Alligator mississippiensis: one gene and its partners. The protein of the gene in region 2 interacts with the protein of the main gene of each other region in a pairwise test. Links are inferred from orthologs where the notes say so. Each region holds a gene or a part of one and is shown on either strand. Other genes may lie near its edges.

Region 1 (6,461 bases), on a different chromosome or scaffold from region 2:
CCTTCCCTTCTTCCCAATACTGGACTGGGGGGCTACGCCTCAGATTGCCTCTGACTATATTAGGGCCTTGTTACACCTTATGCTGTGTGCCACACAAAGGTTGATTGGTTTAGGACTAGCCTGGATTTTGGAGCAGTCACACCTTCAACTTCAATGGCACACTTGTGGGGAGGGGCCACACCTTAATGAAACAGGAGCTGAGTTCTATGGATCATGAGAAAATACTGCTTGAAAGTGGTGCAACTTGGAGCCACTAAGGCTAAGTACAGTCAGTCAAAAAGCCCGAGGCTGAATCAATTCAATCTTTGCAGGTTAGTCTAAGCTGCATAGGTTGAACCAATGAAGTGAACAGACATTCACTTTTGATTCTAGAAATGCAGCCACATGGCTGCAGTGGCCCCAGCCAGAAGCTGTAGGGCACTAGAGCACACCTCCCTACTCAGCTGAAGCAGACAGTTTGGGTAAAGGCTAGCCCACCCACCATAAGTGGGGGTCTGTGGGGGAGGTGCAAAGCATCCAGGGATGCTGGGGGACTATAGTTAACTTGAATCTGGAAGGGAACTGGTACAGCAGTTTAAGTGCTTTAGGGTGTTAATGTGTAGATAATCCAGGGGTTAAGAGCTCCAGCCAAAATTGCCATGCAATAAGGTCCTAACAGTTCTTGTTCCTTTTTGGGGGTGGGGAGGGGGAGGTGGTTCTTCAACAGTAAATAGGAAAGACCAGGACATTCTGGTGACACAACAAGCAGGGAGTAAACTATCCACAACTTCTAAGGCTATATTTAGATCTCAAAAAAGGTGGGGCTGCTGCTGATACATGTGTGACTATGCATAATTGCTTGCAGAGTCAGGAACCAGATGGAACCAATATACATATATTGTATACTAGAAGTCCACCGATACATCGGTCCAATATCAGAAAGTTGACTGTATCGGAAATTGGCTTTTTTTTTGCCTGATGTGGCCAATAATTTGGCTGATAAATGCCCTGTGCATGCATGCAGCAACAGTGTAGCACATAGGTGGGGAAGAGCATAGCTCAGCAGCATGGAGAGTTGTGTCCAGCTGGTAAGTCTATTGTGGTGGAAGGGAAAGGGGGAGGGAAGGGGCATGGGAGGGAAGATTGAGGCCCCTGTGGTGAGGGAAGGAGTGGGGCTGGGGCAGGTGCTGCCCAGCTGGGGTACGGCAGGGTGGGGAATGGGACATGGGATGGAGCTGCAGCTCATCTGAGGGGTGCCAGGGGACTGGCTCCTGCTGCTGCATGCACCCCAGGAGGGCATGGGGGAGTGTATGCCCCTGCATGTGTGCGGTATGGGGTGGGCTGCTGCGGGCTGGGGCCAGGGCTGGGCCAGGCTGCACTCAGGGTGGGCCAGGCAGTGGTGCTGGGAGGGGTGGTTTTTGAAGGGGCTACAGTGAATTTTGGGGTGGCTGCAGCCCCTCTGGTAACTCCCGTCCCAGCACCACAGCTGCCCACCCTGAGCGCAGCCTGGCCCAACTGCTCACTGGGAAGAGCTTGGCATAGCCCCAGCCCCAGCCCACAGTGGCAGCCTGCCCTTGCCCTGTACAGATCCAGGGGCACTCACCCCCCCCATGCCCTCCCAGGGTGTGTGCAGTGGTGGGAGCTGCCCCTGCAACCTCCAGACAAACCGCGGCTGTCCTATGTCCTGCCCCAGCCCCTCTCCCTCCCTCACCACAAGGGTCTCAAGGGCCCCCCATGCGCCTTCCCTGCCCCTGCCCCTTCCACCACAACAGACTTACCAGTCGGCCACTGCTCTTCAAGCTGCCAGGCTGCGTATCAGAAATTGGATTGGCATCAGCTGATATGCTGCCTTAAAAATTGGCTATTGGTATTGGTCCCCAAAATCTCTATTGGTGCACCCCTAATATATATATATATATATATATATATATATATATATATGTATATGTATATATATTTGTATGATTTAATAGCAGCCTTCAACTAACTACCTGAAGGGGGTTTAAAAGAGGATGGAGCTAGACTGTTCTCAGTGATGGCAGAAGACAGAACAAGAAGCAACAGTCTCAAGCTGCAGCAAGGGAGGTTTAAGTTGAATATTAGGAAAAGCTTTCTCAGGAGGAGGGTACTAAAACATTGGAACAGGTTACCCAGAGAGGTGGTGGAAGCTCCATCCTTGGAGGTTTTTAAGAACAGGTTAGACAAAGCTTTGGCTGGGAAGATCTAGTTGGGGATGGTCCTGCTTTGAGCTGGGGGTTGCACTAGAGACCTTCTGAAAATTCCAACCCTAGTGTCTATGATATCTCTATAGATCTCTCTCTCTCTATATATATCCATAGTTATTGACCCATCTATATCTAAATAAATATATATAGATCCATAGATCGATCTATATCTATAGATATATAGCTCTATATCTCTCGACATATAGATATTTATATACTTATATGAGACAATACACATGCATATATATTGTATATATGTATACCTACAAGTATGTAAGTAAATGTGTATATTCATGTGTGTGCGTGTATGTGCGCGCGTACAATATATGCATGAGTGTGTGCGCGTTTAGGTACGCATGCCCAGGTGTGTATGTACTGATGTGTGTGCGCGCGTGAGCATACATGTAACAGCCGTGAGACAAACTTCACTTGGCTTTTCCCAGCCCCTGCCTTCAGAGCGGACCAGTTTTGAAGGCAGCTTTAAAGTACCCGCTGTTTATCTCAGGGGGTCGGGGGTGGAGGGGTTTCCTGCCCTTCCTCCAAGCACAGCGCGTCTCGTCCCTTGCTACAACTCTCGCCCGCGGCCGCACGGAGCACGGCCCGGCCCCCGGCAGGCGGCGCAGCGGCAGAGGCGGAGGCGGCACTTTGGGAGCGGAGCTGCCCGCGCCGCCGGAACAAAGTGCAGCCGCCGCCGGGAGCTGGAGGCGGCCTCGGCTCTGGACCCGCTTGGCGTCGCCTTCCCCCGCGCCGGGGAGCCGCGGCCCAGGTAAGAGGCTGCGCAGCCCTCACCAGCCGGGAAGCGCGGAGGCTTCGTAACATGGCGAAGGGCAAGAGCCCTCGCTGCAAGCCGTGCGGCGGCAGCCCGCCGGGCGCAGGTCGCGGACCTGCCTGGTGCCCCGCTCCCGCCGCGGGGCTGGGGCCCCTCCCGCACGCCTTCCCCTTTGTGAGGGCGGCCCCTGGCCCTGGGCCTGCCCCTCTGCCCCTTCCTCAGCTCCCGCTGCGCCTGGGCTCCAAGCTCTGCCATTCCAGGACCCGCTGATCCTACAGTGGCTTGCACTGGGTGAGCCCCGAGCGGCTCCTTGCAGCCCCAGGGCTGTGCGAGTCCATGGCCCAAGTCTCTGATTCTCACCGGGGCGAGGGGGGAGCACCCCGAGGGGCCTCGAGGTCCTCCCCTGGGTGCTGAGGGGGCCTGAGATCCTCTCACAGGGGTCCGCGCGGTTTCAGCACCATCAGGTGGGCAAATACGATGCAGAGGATAAAAGGCAGCGATTTCAAAGGAGACTGTAGCGTCACAAGGACCCGTTGGGGTCCTTCTGAGTTTTTTGCCATAGAAACCCCCGGCGTTAGTTTTTCCATAGTCCAACCCCCCCCCCCCCCCCCAAACAAAAAACCAAAAAAACCCGAAACCAAACTCGGAGCTGACATGTTTGGAGGGGTGCCCTGAGCTTAAAAGGGCTGGGCAGTGCTTAGCCAAGAGCTCTTTATTTACATCTACTCCTTGCTTAGCATTGTAGTTAAGTTCTTGAAAATGCAACTTTAAGCAAATCCAATTACATCACAGTAGTTGCCTACTAGCAGCTGGCAGCCAAACAACATTATAACCGAACATTGCACGACTTTCAATGAGTATGTTCTCTAATAGATCAGTGACTTAATAACAAAACAACGTTAACCGAGATTACGTTAAGTGAAGAGTACCCATATTTATTTTTTTGGTCCCATCCAGGATGTAATGGGTTCCCAGGTGGATGAGGACTGGGCAGTTCTGGGTTGAGGTCGAGCACCAGAAAAGCAGCTCTGTAGTTTGAGATGAACCCTAGTTTGAAGCTGGCAGGCATGGAAATAAAACAGAAAAAAAGAAAGAGAAGAGAAAAGCTTTGCTTGAGAAGGCTATGGGTTTCCATACTTGTATGTTCCCTTAGTTGTAACATCAAGTTGGAATAAATTAAAGGCAGTGATTACATTTTGCTGGGAGCCATAAAACCATAGCGGCTGTGGTCAAATAAGAGATGTGCAGCTACTAGTGGAACTGACTCCATTTCATTTAGAAGGAAAACCTCTGGATGAGCTTAATGCTCTTTGCTTTCTCTGGTGAAACTTGTCTTCAGATGTATGATCTCACATCTGACCACATCTGAACGCTCACTCTCTTAAGTACTTCTCCTCTTGTTCTTGTGGTCCCCTTTCCCCTTTCCCATTACACAGATTTTTTTCTTTCCATTAGCAGTTGCACAACATCCTTATCTCAGCTACAAAAATTGCTTCAGTGTTCAACTAAAGTAGTATTAGCAGAATGCTTGGGTATTTAGCAGCTCGAAAACTAGGAAGTCTGTGCCATGTGTCACCCAGTCTGCTTCCATGGGACACCAGAAGAAATTCTCTACGGACAAGTGTTTAAGAATTGTTCCATCTGAAATGTTAGGTGTTCTTAACCGGCAATAGAGGAGTCCAAGGCTTTCGTTTGAAAGGCTTTCGTGACTCGAGGAAGGTTCATTACATCCTGTCTTGTCCATGGCGTTTTTGTATCAGTAAAGAATTTAGTTTTTTAGTCAAACCTGGTTATTGTCACGCTGGAGCAAATGGCCAGGTTTATTCTCTTTGTACAATGACTCTGTTGTAAGCTGGTAGTGAATAACTGTTCTTCACATGTTTGCATCATCAGCTCATGCAATGAGATGCTTAATTTAAAACTCCACTTAGGCAAACTCAGTTTTGGTTTTTGAACTGTATCACCACAATTGTCTTTGCATGTTTTCAGTTGTTCCATGATTCCTGAAAATCATTCTGTTGTATTGCATGTATAATATCAAATACAAATTGGTTTTGAATCTGTCTTCAAGATGCAGAGTCTCTTATTTTTTGTTATTTATAATCTACCTAGAGACCTCTGTAGATGCAATTAGGAAACAGAAAAACAGGGCTAGAAGGAGCCTCAAAAAATGTTGTTTAGACCACTAGTCATGGCAGGACTACCTATGTCTAAACCATTCTAGAAATAGTTTTATCTAAATTGCACTGAACTTCCCATGACAAAGATCTTACAAGCTCTCTAGGTAATCTATTCCAGAGCTTAGCCACCAGCGCAGTTAGGAAGTTCTTCTTAATAGCTGACCTAAATCTCCCTTGTTTCAATTTTAAGCCCTTAATTAAGAAGTTAATAAATATCCAACCAGAAAGAGGTTGTAATGATTGGTGAGTGTTAGGGAGGTTGTGCATAAATGATTATACAGCTGTTATAACACTCTTACTTTTTGATCGAATACACAGATTGGAAAAAAAAAAGTTTTCCATTTAATGTTTAACCTAATACTTTAAATATGATTTTTTTTCAATTGCACTCCAGATGTAAATGCCATATCACTCCTGTTAACTGTCATATTTTCTCATCTGCAAGTGAATGCTTATTAAAGCATAAACAATTGAAGTTAAATAACTAGTGCCCCAATGTCTAAAATAGTATTTAAAATATAAGAACTTCTTAACTACTGCAGTTGAGTGACAGAAAATTTAAAGGTCCATGCAGTACAGACTACATAGACAGAATCCTTGTTGGTTTTAATTTCAGTGATTACTAGTTGCTTCTGTTTCATAGTCCTTATCTCTGTTCCCTTATGGATGACTGAATGTTTGAAGAGGATTTCCTGCAAGAAGATGCTTGGGCCAGGTGAAGGGAAACTTTTGGCTCTTACTTCCCCAAGCTTTTTCTTTGGATGTAGCAGAAGCTCTTCTCTTGTACCTGAATACTGGTAACAAGGAAAAAAAGAAATGTAATGCTTTTGAGCTCTGGCCTTTAAAGTATGAGCAGTGTACAAGACTATCTTGATCCTCCTAATCAGATGCTTCCTGCATCTGTGTGGCTTGATTTCTTTTTTTTTCCTGGTGTGAATAGAATGTAACTTCTGTTTGTAGGTGGACACAAAGTTTTTCTATTTAAGAGCACCCAGTTCTTTCTCTTTTCCACTGGGTCTCAAAGCACATAAACATTGTAGCTCAGACTTATGTCCTAACTGGTTTAGGGATTAGACTGCCTTGAACAGTTTTTGTCAGGTCTGTATTTTTTTGTGGCATAGTTTTGTTTTTCACCTTGTTGCCTTGAGCCTTCATGTTTGAAGCTTTTGTTTTTTTCCTTCCCAGTGCCTAGTTAAATGGTAATTGTCACTTCAATGCCATATTTCTGCAGGAAAAATCTTGTACCCAGTGTAGTTTTGAGTAACTGATGTGTTTCTCATCCTCTGGACTTGTATACCTACTTAAATT
Region 2 (6,461 bases):
AGCACTATGATGCCTGACGAAGGGTTTTTGAACCCGAAAGCTTGCTTAATAACTATTCTCCAACCATTTGGTTTGGTTTAATAAAAGATATCAAATTCACGCAAGGAACCTTGACAGCACTATGAGGCACTCCCTGAAAGACTCTCTCTAAATTAACAAGTGAATTACAATGGACTGCTTGGATTGCAAAGTCTCTAAGGTAGGGACCTTGTTTCCTTACTTGCTTGTAAAGCTTCGAATATATACCCATAATGCAATAAACATACTAGCATTTACTGTTTTCATCTCTGGGTATAGTTTATTCATCTCAAACAGACACATTTAACTTTAGAGTCTCATCTTACCAACAATACCTTTTTCCCGTATGGTACATCTCTACCCAACTTTCTCCCCATGAAAAAGATCAAATCCTTACCAAAAGTATGAAAAGCAAGGGTTGAACTGAGTGTACATTTCCTGAATTTTTACTGCTTTATCCCTCCCTCCTTGTATAGCAGAAATTTACCTTGAAAGCGCAGAATTGCATACTAATATGAGTATAAGACGTTTTATTTGTACTTAAGGCACTCATGTAAAGGCTGGTCCCCAAACAGTTTTTGACCAAAACAAGCTACACCACTGTAAACTCTATCACTGTATCCACACTAAAAGATTGCACCAATTTAACAATTTCAGCTTCCTAACTAATGCAATTAAAACATTACCTAGAAGGTAATGAACTCCAACATGCTGGATACAATGGGAAACCAAAACAGGACTTCTACAATTCATGACTACCAAACATTTCCCCTTGCACGTGCCCAAAGTACAACGTTGGGATGCTCCTCATTACTGTATGGTGCAGGGTGGTTAAAAATCAATGATTTTATTTAAAAAATAAAACATCTGAAATAAAAGTTTTTTAAATGTAATCATATTTTTAAATTCTTGTTGTTAACATGCTTTTAAAAAAATAAACTGACATAAAGATAGTTTTAAGATACGTTAAAGTTCAAAGATATCATCATGGAATAGGGATTATAACTTCTAATTATGCACTATTTGAGACAATATATTCACGTAACCTTTTTACAAGTTTTACATATAGGTCACAACAGGCATGGACTATATTAGGGGCCCAATCATGTGGCTCCTATATAGATTAGTAAAAATTAAAGAAAACCATTCTACCCAATGGTACTCAGTGCTCAGTCTAGAGTCTAGCCTCTAGTCTAGACGATCCCGTTAAGCATCTCTGTGATGCTTAGTTTCAGTTCTCAAACTATGGATTTGTCTCTCCAAAGATCATAGGCAGACAAGGTTCTTTGGGCAGATGTGCTATCTTTTATTAGACCAACTAAATAGTTGGAAAAATTGTTCTTTGCAAACCTTTGGGCATAACTGCCCTTCTTCAGGCATAAGACTGAGTTTGTTGTCTCCAGAGATAACATCCTTGTTAACAGCAGTATATGGAGATGAGAGATAACAAACCTGATTACCTACCCATCAGCCCTCTGTCTCTCTGCAAGTGTGTACACACACAGTCAGGCCCTTACCTTTCTCTAAAAGTGCAAAGTTTCAAGAAGTTCAATTAATAAAGGATATCAAACAACAAGAATGCACTTTTTGTAGAAAACAATGATTAAATCGAGACTTCTGATGCATGATTTAAATTGTGTTTTAAATCAGGATTTAAATGGATTTGATTTGTCAGATCCACCCTGCTACAGTGCACAGTAGAATAGCCAAAAACAGAAAATAAAAATTACCAGCACAAAACTGATGATACAAGAGTGAAAAGCACTTTATTTGAATTGTGCTACCACTGAACAGTTACACTCCAAGTTACCATTGATCAGCTTCCCTAGACAGTAAATATTGTTCCTATTGCCACCCAGCAGCTTCTGATCTCATCCATGCATTAGGGAAAGACCAAATGAATTTTATTGTGATAATTTCAGTTTATACTATTGTATGCAAGCTACAGACTAATCCTAATCAATCCATAAAAGCCTTCAAGAACCACATCTTGCTTGGTTTCAGAACGTGCACAATTCCTGTTTGTTTTTTAAAGCACAGCAGCATCACAAAGTATTTCGTTGTTCCCCCGGCCATATTTAAGGGTTTTTTTCTTCAAACATTTTGGAAAAAGATAAAAACTATTATTAAAAGTGATCTCCGTGATCAAAACAAATTTAAGTCTTGTCCATTTTCAATAATTTTCTAACAAACATTGTGTTAGCATCCTTTTTTGAGACATCAGCTCTTTGTATGTAGTGATGTTCAAATAAAACTGTTAATGGGTTTAGTTGCAAGTATTTCCAACTGAAAACATATGTCCAAAAAAGTTTATTATAACACTTCATCATTTTCTACTGCTGGGCAGGTTCATGACAATGCGACTGCATTTTGCATTTCAGGGTCCATGGGTTCAAAAGGCCAACAGGATTTTGAGGAGGTAAGTTTGGGAGTCTTAAAGAACATTGGTTCAACCTTCCTCTGACAACTTAGAATTAACATTTGGAGTTATTATTTTACAATTCTCAAGTAAGGCAGGATTCCTGCATTACTAATTTCAATGGTAGTTTTATTATTTACTTCAACAGCAGCGCAAACAAGCACTTTCCTACTAGTCTTTAGTGACTGTACATTACAGTGAAAAATGAACTGAGCCAACAGGACATCCAAAAGAAGTACTGCCTTTTAACAACGTTAGGTCTTGATCTCTTTCAGACTCAAAGAGCTATTGCCAAACCAAGCACATTGAGAATAAATCCTGCTGGTCCCCATTTCCTTACTGCCAACCCGTTATAATCATAAGACAACTACTACCTGATTTTTGCAAGCTTGCTTTAAACAGCATGTAAGCTATAGTGTTTATCCATAGGGATATATATATCCGGTAGAGTCTCTGCAACTCAGATAAGAGTTTTCTCTGGGCCACAGCGCAGAGACCACTTACTTCATTTAAAAAAAAAAAGTTGAGGGGGGAAAATGAAGGGAGGAAAAAGGGGGAAAAGGGGGAAGGAAAAAGAGGGGGGAGAGGAGGAGGGGAGGAGGGAAAATAACCTGCCCTTGTTATATCCACAGCGGGTATGAACTCACTCCTGAGGGATTCAAATAGGGCAACTAGTAAGTAGTTTCAAAAAAGGTGGGGTTCTCCTTTGCCCGATGGTTTTGCCAGGCACAAGATGCAGATCCCCTTGAGCCCAGCTCCCACATCAGACCTTATAAAAACCACAAGTGTCCCCTCCCCCCTCCTTCCCGGCTTTTTCCTTTAAAAAAAAAAAAAAAGTTTTATTTTTTTTTAAGTGTTTGGCAGATGTTCAAGATAAAGACGCCTCTGCCTGGAACCGAAGCTGCTCTGCCTGCTCTTACAAAAGAGCCAGCCGGACCAGCCAGGGACTCTTCCCCCTCCTCCTGCCTTGCAACCGGTTCCCCATGGAAGCCTCAGCCCCTGTCACAACCGCCCGGGCCCGCTCAGGGACACGCACACACACGCGCCCAGCTGACAGCCCGCCAGAGACGCGCGGCTCATTCATAAAGACAGCCGGCGCGCGTAGCGCTCGCCCCTCGGCCAGGAGCAGAACTCAGCCAAGGTTCCAAGAGGCGGATATAGAACGCGGCGAGCGTTCCGAGGGGAAGGAACAGAACGTAGCGAGGGTTCCAAAAGGGCTCGGAATAGAACGCCGCGAGCATTCCGCGGGGGGGATAGAACGTAGTGAGAGTTCGCGGGGCGGGGGGAATAGAACGTAGCGAGCGTTCCAAGAGGGGGCAGAACTTAGCGAGGATAACACAGGGGGAACAGAACGTAACGAGGGATGGGGGGTCCCGCCTGGGGGGCCTCGAGCCACACGAGGGGGGGAGCCCGCGGCTGGGGGGCTGCACGCACCTTTCTTCTCCTCCACGGCGGAGCACGGCCCGAGCAGCAGCAGCAGGATAGCGGCTGCCCCGGCCCGGCCGGCTCTGGCTCCTGCGCCCAGGCGGCGGCTCCTGCTGTCCCGCATCCCGGCGCTGCCGCTGCTGCTGCTGTAATCCCGTGGCTGGTGCTGCTGCTCTCAGCCCCGCGCGCCCGGGCTCCCGGCGGCCGCCACTGCACTGCCCATGCTGCAGGGGGGCGGGCACGGACTCGGGAGGAGGCGGCGCTGCTGCTGGGCTGGGCTGGAGAGGGGGGAGCTGCGGGTCGCAGCCGCCGGCCCCACGCGGGCGCTGGGTCGGGCCGGGGGTGGCTGCGGTCTTCCTCCGCCGGGAGCTCCGCCCGGGCCGCCTCGCTCGCCAAAACTTTCCCCTGCTGCCGGCGGGGCGGGGACGCTGGCGCTGCTGCCCCGCCAGGTGCCACCCCCACCGCCTGCCTCACCTGGCGGGGTGGAGCCGGGGACAAGCTCCTCCTCGGGGGCAGCAGGGCTTTGCCCCCTGTTCCGGGCGCCTCGGCGCCCTCTCCCGGCCAGCTCTGACGGAAGGCGGCCCGGCTTGCCCGGGCCTGGAGCTGGCTCTCATGCCCCTCAAGGCGCCTCTCCCTTGGAGCCCCCACCCCGCGCTCAAGAAAAGCTCTTCCTTAGCCACCACAGACCGAAAACAGAGCAGTTCTCTTGCAAAAGGAAGGACTTCCTAGGGGGAAGAGAGGTGCCAACCCTGCATTCCCAGAAACAGGCACCAGCTGCAATTGGGACTTCCCACATTTGTATAGAAAAGCCATAGGGGTTAGGGACACAAAGGCAGTCCCAATTCACAGCACAGCTCTGGCGACCTCCCCTGCTTCCTCGTGCCCTTTCAAACCTGTTAGGCAGGATTTCCTAGGGGGATATTTTTCTTGCCCCCCCCCCCACCCGGAATGAAGGGAGGCAAGCTTTCCAGGGTCTGGATTACACTTTGACTCTTGGAGGGGGCTGGAAAAAAAAAATTGGGGTGCCTATCATGATGCTATAATAAAAACGAAGACCCTCCCCTCAAGTTATGATTTTCAACTCTTACAGGGTGGGGGGGCTTCTGTCTCTTATGGGGTGGCTCAGCCATGGAGCTCCCCCGGTAATTCAAACCCTGAAGCTTTCCAGTTTAAGACCACCTTCCTTAGGTCTTTGAATATAGGCATCCTAGAGGAGGGGTGAGGGGAAATGTGCAGGTCTAGCAGACACACTGAGCAGATAAAAGCACCCAAGTCCTGGGAGATCAAGGCCTATCAAAGGGGGAGGAATAGGGGAGGATCAGGAAGGAGGTCTGAAATCTTGTCTAATTCTATCCCAGCTCCATAGCTGCTCCAATAAAACAGATCGCCTGCAGAAATCCTTGCCTCCTCACATCACTTCTGGTCTGTCACGCATACAATGTTACTCTTATTGCTACTGTTTTTCTGTTGCAAAGAGGGCAAGCAGGTCCCAACAGGGCAGGCAAGGTTTAGCCCTGCAGGTTCATCATTGAAGCCTCTGGGTTTCTAATTATGTTTGCCCACCCAACAGCAGTAGAGAGGATCTCTCCCTCCAATGGAGAATCACCAGCCTAGAGCCACCAGTGAAATTCCAGCCACCTCTCAGACCCCACTGCCTCACTCAGCCAGTCACAGAGCTGGTGCCTTCCCTGGCTATATCAGAGGCTACCTGCAACCCCAGTGGGAATGGGTAACTAGTTTGGCTTGAGTGGAGTGACTCCTGCCTTCCACTTGTGCCAGGGAAATCAAACTCCCTTCCCTTCCCTCAGGTGCATGCCTAGGTGTGCTGGCAGAAAGGCAATGCTATATCATGCTGGTTACAAGGAGAGAATAGCAGCAGCTGGCCCAGAACTTTATCAGAGAAAGGGGGTGGGGGAGAGAAGAAACCTGATAAAAGGTAATTGTGGGTGATTGGAGCTACAGGATAAATTAGTCTTGGTTTTCATCACTTCCAAAATAGAGTGTTACTAAAGGTTGAAATAAAAAATGCTAAGAAGCTTGGAGAAGGAGCTGACCCAGGGGGAAGAAGCCAAGTTTGTCAATAATTACCTTCTGAAGTTAATGATTTAAAAGATTAGGACACAGTACCAGCTCCTACTCTCACTCAAGTGGACTGGAGTTTTGCCACTGCCTTCTGCAGGATGGATCCTGCTCACGTTGCATGTACGTTTACCCCCACTACTTAAAAAAGTTGGTGACACAGGAGGACAAAGTTAAGAAAAATGCCACTGTTTCTGTGCATCACTTATTCCACAGGAAACTCAGAATCTCTTTGCCACTGGCCTTACTTCAGACTAATAGTTTTTTACCATAGTATAAATATATGTTCCTGCTTCCACTTGTCTTCTGGATAGGGGCCTTTGCCTTTCACAGAAATCAAAATTTCCCCTAAAAAAAAAAAAATCTGTAAAAATGTCATGTCCCTAAGGAATTTGAATCAAGCCTCATGTCTGTTATTTCTATTTTCCTCCTCAGACAAGACATTAAATAGTGTATAAATTATACAGATTTAGTACTTTGCTTATACTGCGTTACTGTGATATCCATAATATTTACTATC
Region 3 (6,461 bases), on a different chromosome or scaffold from region 2:
CCCCATCCACCTAACCATCTGATTAAAATAGAAACCAGACTTAAATGACCTGGAATTCTTTTTCCCACTGATATCTGCTATACCCAGATTTTAATGTTGCTCCATATTTAGCGAGAGAAAAAAAAAGACTCCCTTCCTTCCTGTCATATTTTCCATCCTTGATGACAACCCAGATCAGAAAAAAGCAGATCTTCATTTAACTGAGGGTTTTCCATCAAAGTACGGGAGAGAAGAATCTTGCTTTAAGAGTTCGATTCATCCCGTAAGGGCGTTCAACACATGCGTTCTCATGTGTGCACGCACAGCGGTACAGCCATGGTATCTTATCTGTACGTGTCTACCCTCCCTGTTCTACATTTTGTAATGGGGAGGGGAAGAGAAAAAATGCTTAAAAGAGAGGGGCCAATCCTTAGCTGTTGAGCATTAGCACAGCTGCACTGACTCGCATGGGAAATGTGTACCTCTCAGGAAGTGGGTCTAATGGACAGATCCAGCACTGGCATAAGTCAGCACAGTTCCCATGCTGATGGGAACCACAGTGGATTTACACAACCTGAGGCTCTCACCCTCAAGCTGCAGGAGTTAGATTTTACTTGCATCAAGTGACATACTTACTTCACACAGGACTGGGAGTTTTTAGCTATGCAACAATAAAGAAATATTAATCATCAAGTGCAGACACTGCGTTCTATATTGTGTAGCCACTTGGTTCCTATACCACGTGCTTTGTCTATGTAGGCATTGTATTTGTGTGCAGTGCCCAGAAGAAGGGAGGAGAAAAAGAAAATTTTAGCTCTTCACCTGTCAGTAAGGCTGACGGCATGTAGAGTGCAGGTTTGGGGGAGAAGGAGGGATTAAATAAAAATGGCCCTCTTCCTTGGAACTCTAGAATGTGAGTGTGTTCACATAACCCCTGCAACAGTGCCCTCATCCACCAGCTTTACTTGTGCCAGGATAAGGTGTTCTTAGTGTTTCGGAGCAACATGCCTTGTGGTTGTACAACAGGGTTGTTTGTGCATCGCTCTAAGATTAGGTTAGACAAGCACTTATATGGGATGGTCTAGATAGGGATGATCCTGCCTTGAGCAGCAGGTTGGACTAGATGACTTCTGGAGGTCCCTTCCAGCCCTACTTTTCTTTGATTCCATTAAAAATTGTGGTTTACTTGCTAACAGCCCTTTTTACCCCCACAGCACATTCAGCTTGGAGTATTAGTTTACATAACATCAAGCCTTGGAAGCTGCACAGATATATCATCACCATTTCACAGATGGAGAAATGGAGGCACAAAGAAGTGAAGTAACTTGTTTAGAAGTTCAGGAAAAGTTACTGGCAGAAAAAGAAAGATGACTCAAGCATACCGCATCCCGGGCCCCTGCTTAAAACTGCAAATCCTCCCTTAAGGAAAAGGGATTTACATGAACACAAAGACAGTTGTGTGCTTGTGACACAATCCTGGGGCACCGGAGGTCTAGCGTCTGTTCCCAGCTCTTCAATGATCCCGCAAATCACTGAACAGGAGTATTGCTTGCAAGGCAGGGAAGCAATTCTTCTGTACTATTCAGCATTGGTGAGGCCTCACCTGGACTACTGCACCCAGTTTTGGACACTGTACATGAAGAAAGAGGTGGAGAAGTTTGAGAGTCTAGCAGAAAACAGCACACATGATCAGAGGTCTAGGAATCACTGCTTATAGGGAAAGGCTGGAAGAACTGGGATTATTTGGTCTGGAAAAGAGAAGATTGAGGAGTGATTTGGTAACAGTCTTCAAATACCTGAAGTGTGGCTATGAAGCGAGCAGCGATAGACTGCAGGGAACAGGACAAGCAGTAATAGGTAGTTTTAAATGGCAACAAGGGAAATGTAGGTTGGATATTAGGAAGAGCTGTCTAACTGTGGGGACAGGTGGGTATTGGAATAGACTGCCTAGAGAAAAAATTGTGAAATGTTCTTTATTGGAAGTTTTTAACAGCAGGTTAGATAAGTGTTTGCCTGGAACAGTTCAGACAAGGCTGGTCCTTCCTTGAGCATGGAGCTGGAGTACATGACCTCCTGAGGTCCTGCCCAGCTCCACCTTTCTACGATTGTAACCCTCAATCCTACTGAAATCACTGAATCATAGAAAATGAGGGCTGGAAGGGAGCTCAGGAGGTGACATCTAGTCCAACCCCCTGCTCCAAGCAGGACCAGCCCCAACTACATCATCCCAGCCAAGGCTGTGTCCTAACCGGGTCTTAAACACCTTCAAGGATGGAGACGCCACCACTTCTCTGGGTAGCCTGTTCCAGCGTTTCACTACCCTCCATATGATAGTCTGTCCTAATATCCAACCTCAACTTTCCTTGCTGCAGCTTGAGCCCATTGCTCCTTGTCCTGTCATCTGCCCCCACTGAGACCAGTCCAGCTCTGTTCTCTTTGCAGCCCCCCTGCAGGGAGGTGAAGGCTGCTATCAATCCCCCTCGGTCTTCTCATCTGCAGACTAAATCAGCCCAGCTCCGTCAGCCTCTCCTCACCAGTCCTGTCCCCCAGCCCCGCAACCATTTTCATTGCCCTCCACTGGGCTCTCTCCAACTTGTCCACCTCCTTTCCATAGCGGGGGGGCCCAAACCCGAACACAGCGCTCCCGATGCGGCCTCACCAGCGCGCGAGCAGGCGGAAAGCACAGGTCCGCACCGATGTCGCTCCGCGCGGGTTTCAGGGTCTGCCACACAAAAAGCTCGTTACACCTCACAGCCCTAACCCCTGCGCCCACATCTGCACGACAGGGATAGCACCGCTTCCTCTCTCGCGGCTTCGCTCTCATCTATTTAAGTTACAAACCCTCCACGGGAGGGTCCCGCTCAGCCCGCGCCAGGCGCTGCACGTAACAACGGCATGCAGCGGCCTCGGAGGATTTACGGAGGCTTTTTAGTTGGTTTTTCACAGTCGAGGATTTCGTTTCCTCTCCTATCGGAGAGCGGGGAGAGGCGGAAACGGCGACAGAGCTGGGCTCAACCCACGCTGCCCCGAACGTCGCATGCGAAAGCCACCGGGGACCTCCAGGGAGCAGGCGGAGACCCCCGCGCGCGCCCACCCGGGGACACGGAGCTGGGCAGCTTCCCCCCTTCCTCTCTGGTCACCCTCCTCCAGGCCCGACCCCGTCCATGATCGCGGTGGGAGTGAGTTGCGGTGGGAGAGGCCGGGCCGCGCTCGCGCTGGCACTCACCCCGCCGCGGGCTGCCCCCGCCGCCGTCACTCCGCAGCGGCCCTCGGCGCCACAGCATGGAGCCCGGCCCCGGCCCGGCCCCGGCCTGCCGGGACGTCGCCCCACGCCGCGGGGCTCGGCGCCGTCAGCAGCGGCTGCGACCGTGCCGCGCGCTCCCCGCCATGGTGCCGCTCCACGCGCGGCGCGCGACTGACAGGCGGGCGGGGGCAGGGGGCGGGGCCACGGCGGCCGTTGGGCGGGGGCAGGGGGCGGGGCCGGGCAGCCGTTGGGCGGGGGGCGTGCCCGGGCCGGCCGTTCAGCAGGGGCGCGGGGAGGGAGGAGCCGCGCCCCTTTCCCGTCCATCAAAGCGGATGGAAGATAAGAGCCGCCCGCCGATTGGCTCTCTCAGAGGCCCGCGCGGATTGGCAGCGCCGGCTCACGCCCTCCCCCCCCCGACAGGCCTGTGCCACGGTGGGCGAGGCCACCGGAATTACCGTATGTCTGCGAACATTTCCACCCGCCATCGGTAACCGAATGCTCTCCTGCGCGAGCGCACCCTCATTTTGGGAACGCAGAACTGGCCTGGTTTGTCAGCAGAGACAATCCTCGCCTCGGGTCAGCTGCTGCGCCGGGCGCGGCTTCACAGCCGGAGTTACAGCCTGACACCATGAGCTGACACCTCTTCTTGGACCAAGAAATCGCAAATAAATAAATACATGAATAAATAAAATCTTTATTTTTTAATTTTTTTAAAAAAAATTAATATTTAAAAAATGTAAAGATAATGTTTATCTTTAAATTTTAATTTTTTTAAATTATCTTGAATTTAAAAAAAATAATTTTTAATTTTTTAAAAAGATTATTTTTATCTATTTTCTTAATTTAAAAAATTAAAAATATCATTTTATCTTTAATTGTTTTCATTTTATTTTTTAAAGATCATTATCTTTACATTTTTTATTAAAAAGATAATTTATCTTTAACTTTAAAAATCTTTAATTTTTCATTTTTTAAAAAACATGGTTTTTATCTTTTTCTTAATTTAAAAAAATTAAAAAGATAATTTTATCTTTATTTTTTCATTTTATTTTTTTTAAATAATCATCTTTAATTTTTTTATTTTTTCAAAAATTTAAAAAGATAATTGTATCTTCAATTTAAAATCATTAATTTTTAATTTTTAAAAATTTTATCTTTATTTTCTTAATTTATTAAAAAATTAAAAATAATTTTATCTTTAATTTTTTCTTTTAAGTTTTTAAAGATTTTTTTCTTTAAATTTTTATTCATTAAAAAATTATAATTTAAAAAATGATGTTTTAATTAAAGATAAGATTATCTTTTTTAATTAAAAAAGATTATCTTTATTTTCTTAATTTAAAAACAACATTCAAATATAATTTTTCTTTATTTTTTATTTTTTAAAAGGATGATTTTTATCTTTATTTTTATATTTTAAAAATAAAACAATTTTGTCTTTAAGTTTTAAACATTTTTTAATTTTGAATTTTTTAACAGATCATTTTTATCTTTTATTTCTTAATTTTTAAAAACAATTTAAAAGATCATTTTATCTTCCATTGTTTTTCATTAAAAAAGAAAATGAACAGATGATTTCTGAGCTGGTCTAATAAAAGGCATCATCTCTGAACCAGGAGTTGTAGAGTTTTGCATTTCTTTCTTGGCTCAGGCCAACACGGCCACCAGACACATCGCTGGAAATGTCTTCAATCCTTACTTGATGCAGCGCAGCAAAACCCGCGCGGCTCCCAGGGAGTCTTAGCCAGGTGCGGGGCTCGCTGTCAGCACTTCCCTACGGCTCCTGCCTCCAAAATAAAGAAATGCTTCACGTTTGATGACCCAGCTCGCACTCACTCGCTGGCAGGTGATAGTGAGAAGTATAAAGTAAATCAAAAGAAGACTTCTTTGCATGGTTATTTGAATCAGTTTTCAGTGTGCATTTTGAGCTTCCAATAGAAGATTTCATATTTCAGACCTGGCAGCACTGGCTGGGCCCCCGCCGGGTGTGCAGTGCCTGGGGCAGGCTCCTCTTCGCCTCCTGGCCTTGCTCCCAGCCCTGGGTGGGTGCACCCTGCTGGGGGCTGCTGCCCCGGGCTCCTGCAGGCCCCCACCCTCAGAGTACCTTGGTGCCCCCCAGTCCGAACGGGAAGCACCGGGGGGAACTGGCCTGGTTTTGTGCCTTCTGCATGTGCCTCCCAGAGATCAGGCCTCGTCCTCCAGTGAGAAGCGCCTAGGTGAAGCCCCAGCCCCTCATCTCCTGAAGTCACGGTGTCTTGACCCGTCCCCCGCGGCTCATCCAGCACGCACATCCAGCGCTGCTCCATTAAGGCATTGAGTCCTACTTTTCCTACCGACTTCACGTCGTTAAAAGGGTAGCGTGGGGATCCGACGGTTCGTCTCCCTTCTGATGTTGGCATCTTGTCCGTAGGCTCTTCCGGACAGGCCTTGTGCTCTTGCTGGACGCCGGGGCAATCAGATCGTGTTCCTGAGTGCAGCTGTGCCCACGGGAGCATCCCAAAATCACAAGCGGGGTTCCCCAAATCATGCTGTATCTGGGGGTTTTTTGCTTGGCTGTCTGTTGTGGAGAGCCGTGGGGTATGCTTAGGTCATGTGTTCAAGCTTTTGTTTGCAACCGCAGGAGCTAGGGTTTTCCTTTTTCAGATGAAAGCAGAGATCCTCTAATGATAACCCGATGCCACGGCTGGGTCTTAAAGAAAAACACAGAATAACACAAAAAGCCCGGCAAACCCACAAAAGTTGACTGGGATGTCTCTAGCAATATAAATAAGGAAAATACCCCCTCTGTAAAATGCCATGAATGCCTCTAGATCCGAATATTAATCATTAATGCTCCCAGCCTAAAGTTTTTGCTAAAGGTTGATTTTGCAGATAGTGTTTCCAAGTAGAGTTAGTGAAATGGACTTAACCCGGGCTGACGTAAGTGTGTGCACAAGGAGTTTGCACTGATTTAACTCAATCAGTTGGGTGCACAAACATTAGGGAAGCCAGTCCTCCTGCTCTAATCTCTCTTGACATTACAACTTCCTCTCTCCCTGAAGGTTGTTAGCAGGATTCGTATCGTGGATCTAGTTTGCAATAGTGGCTTCTACCACTCAGAGTGAAGTAACTCCACTGGTTGCTATGCTAGCAGAATAGAGCACAGATATGCGCCAACATGTATATTTATTAAAAGCCAAAAAGAAACCAAATGAAGACCCTGGCAAAATAAGACATATTGCACAATGCTTCTCTCTTC

What was found. The genes of interacting proteins can lie anywhere in the genome.
Region 1: the proteins of EGFR (region 2) and EPS8 interact in binary tests that used the Homo sapiens proteins (3 or more experiments, as listed by UniProt). The link is inferred for Alligator mississippiensis from reciprocal best matches to the Homo sapiens genes EGFR and EPS8.
Region 3: the proteins of EGFR (region 2) and PTPRA interact in binary tests that used the Homo sapiens proteins (3 or more experiments, as listed by UniProt). The link is inferred for Alligator mississippiensis from reciprocal best matches to the Homo sapiens genes EGFR and PTPRA.

Annotation. Positions count from the first base shown.
Region 1 is NC_081827.1:120,372,781-120,379,241, reverse strand, and holds the start of EPS8 (epidermal growth factor receptor kinase substrate 8), read left to right. Parts: upstream 1-2,792; 5' UTR 2,793-2,970; intron 2,971-6,461. UniProt on the Homo sapiens protein: Signaling adapter that controls various cellular protrusions by regulating actin cytoskeleton dynamics and architecture. Depending on its association with other signal transducers, can regulate different processes.
Region 2 is NC_081828.1:121,542,926-121,549,386, reverse strand, and holds the start of EGFR (epidermal growth factor receptor), read right to left. Parts: upstream 4,287-6,461; 5' UTR 3,987-4,286; coding exon 3,872-3,986; intron 1-3,871. UniProt on the Homo sapiens protein: Receptor tyrosine kinase binding ligands of the EGF family and activating several signaling cascades to convert extracellular cues into appropriate cellular responses.
Region 3 is NC_081825.1:7,936,028-7,942,488, forward strand, and holds the start of PTPRA (receptor-type tyrosine-protein phosphatase alpha), read right to left. Parts: upstream 3,348-6,461; 5' UTR 3,206-3,347; intron 1-3,205. UniProt on the Homo sapiens protein: Tyrosine protein phosphatase which is involved in integrin-mediated focal adhesion formation.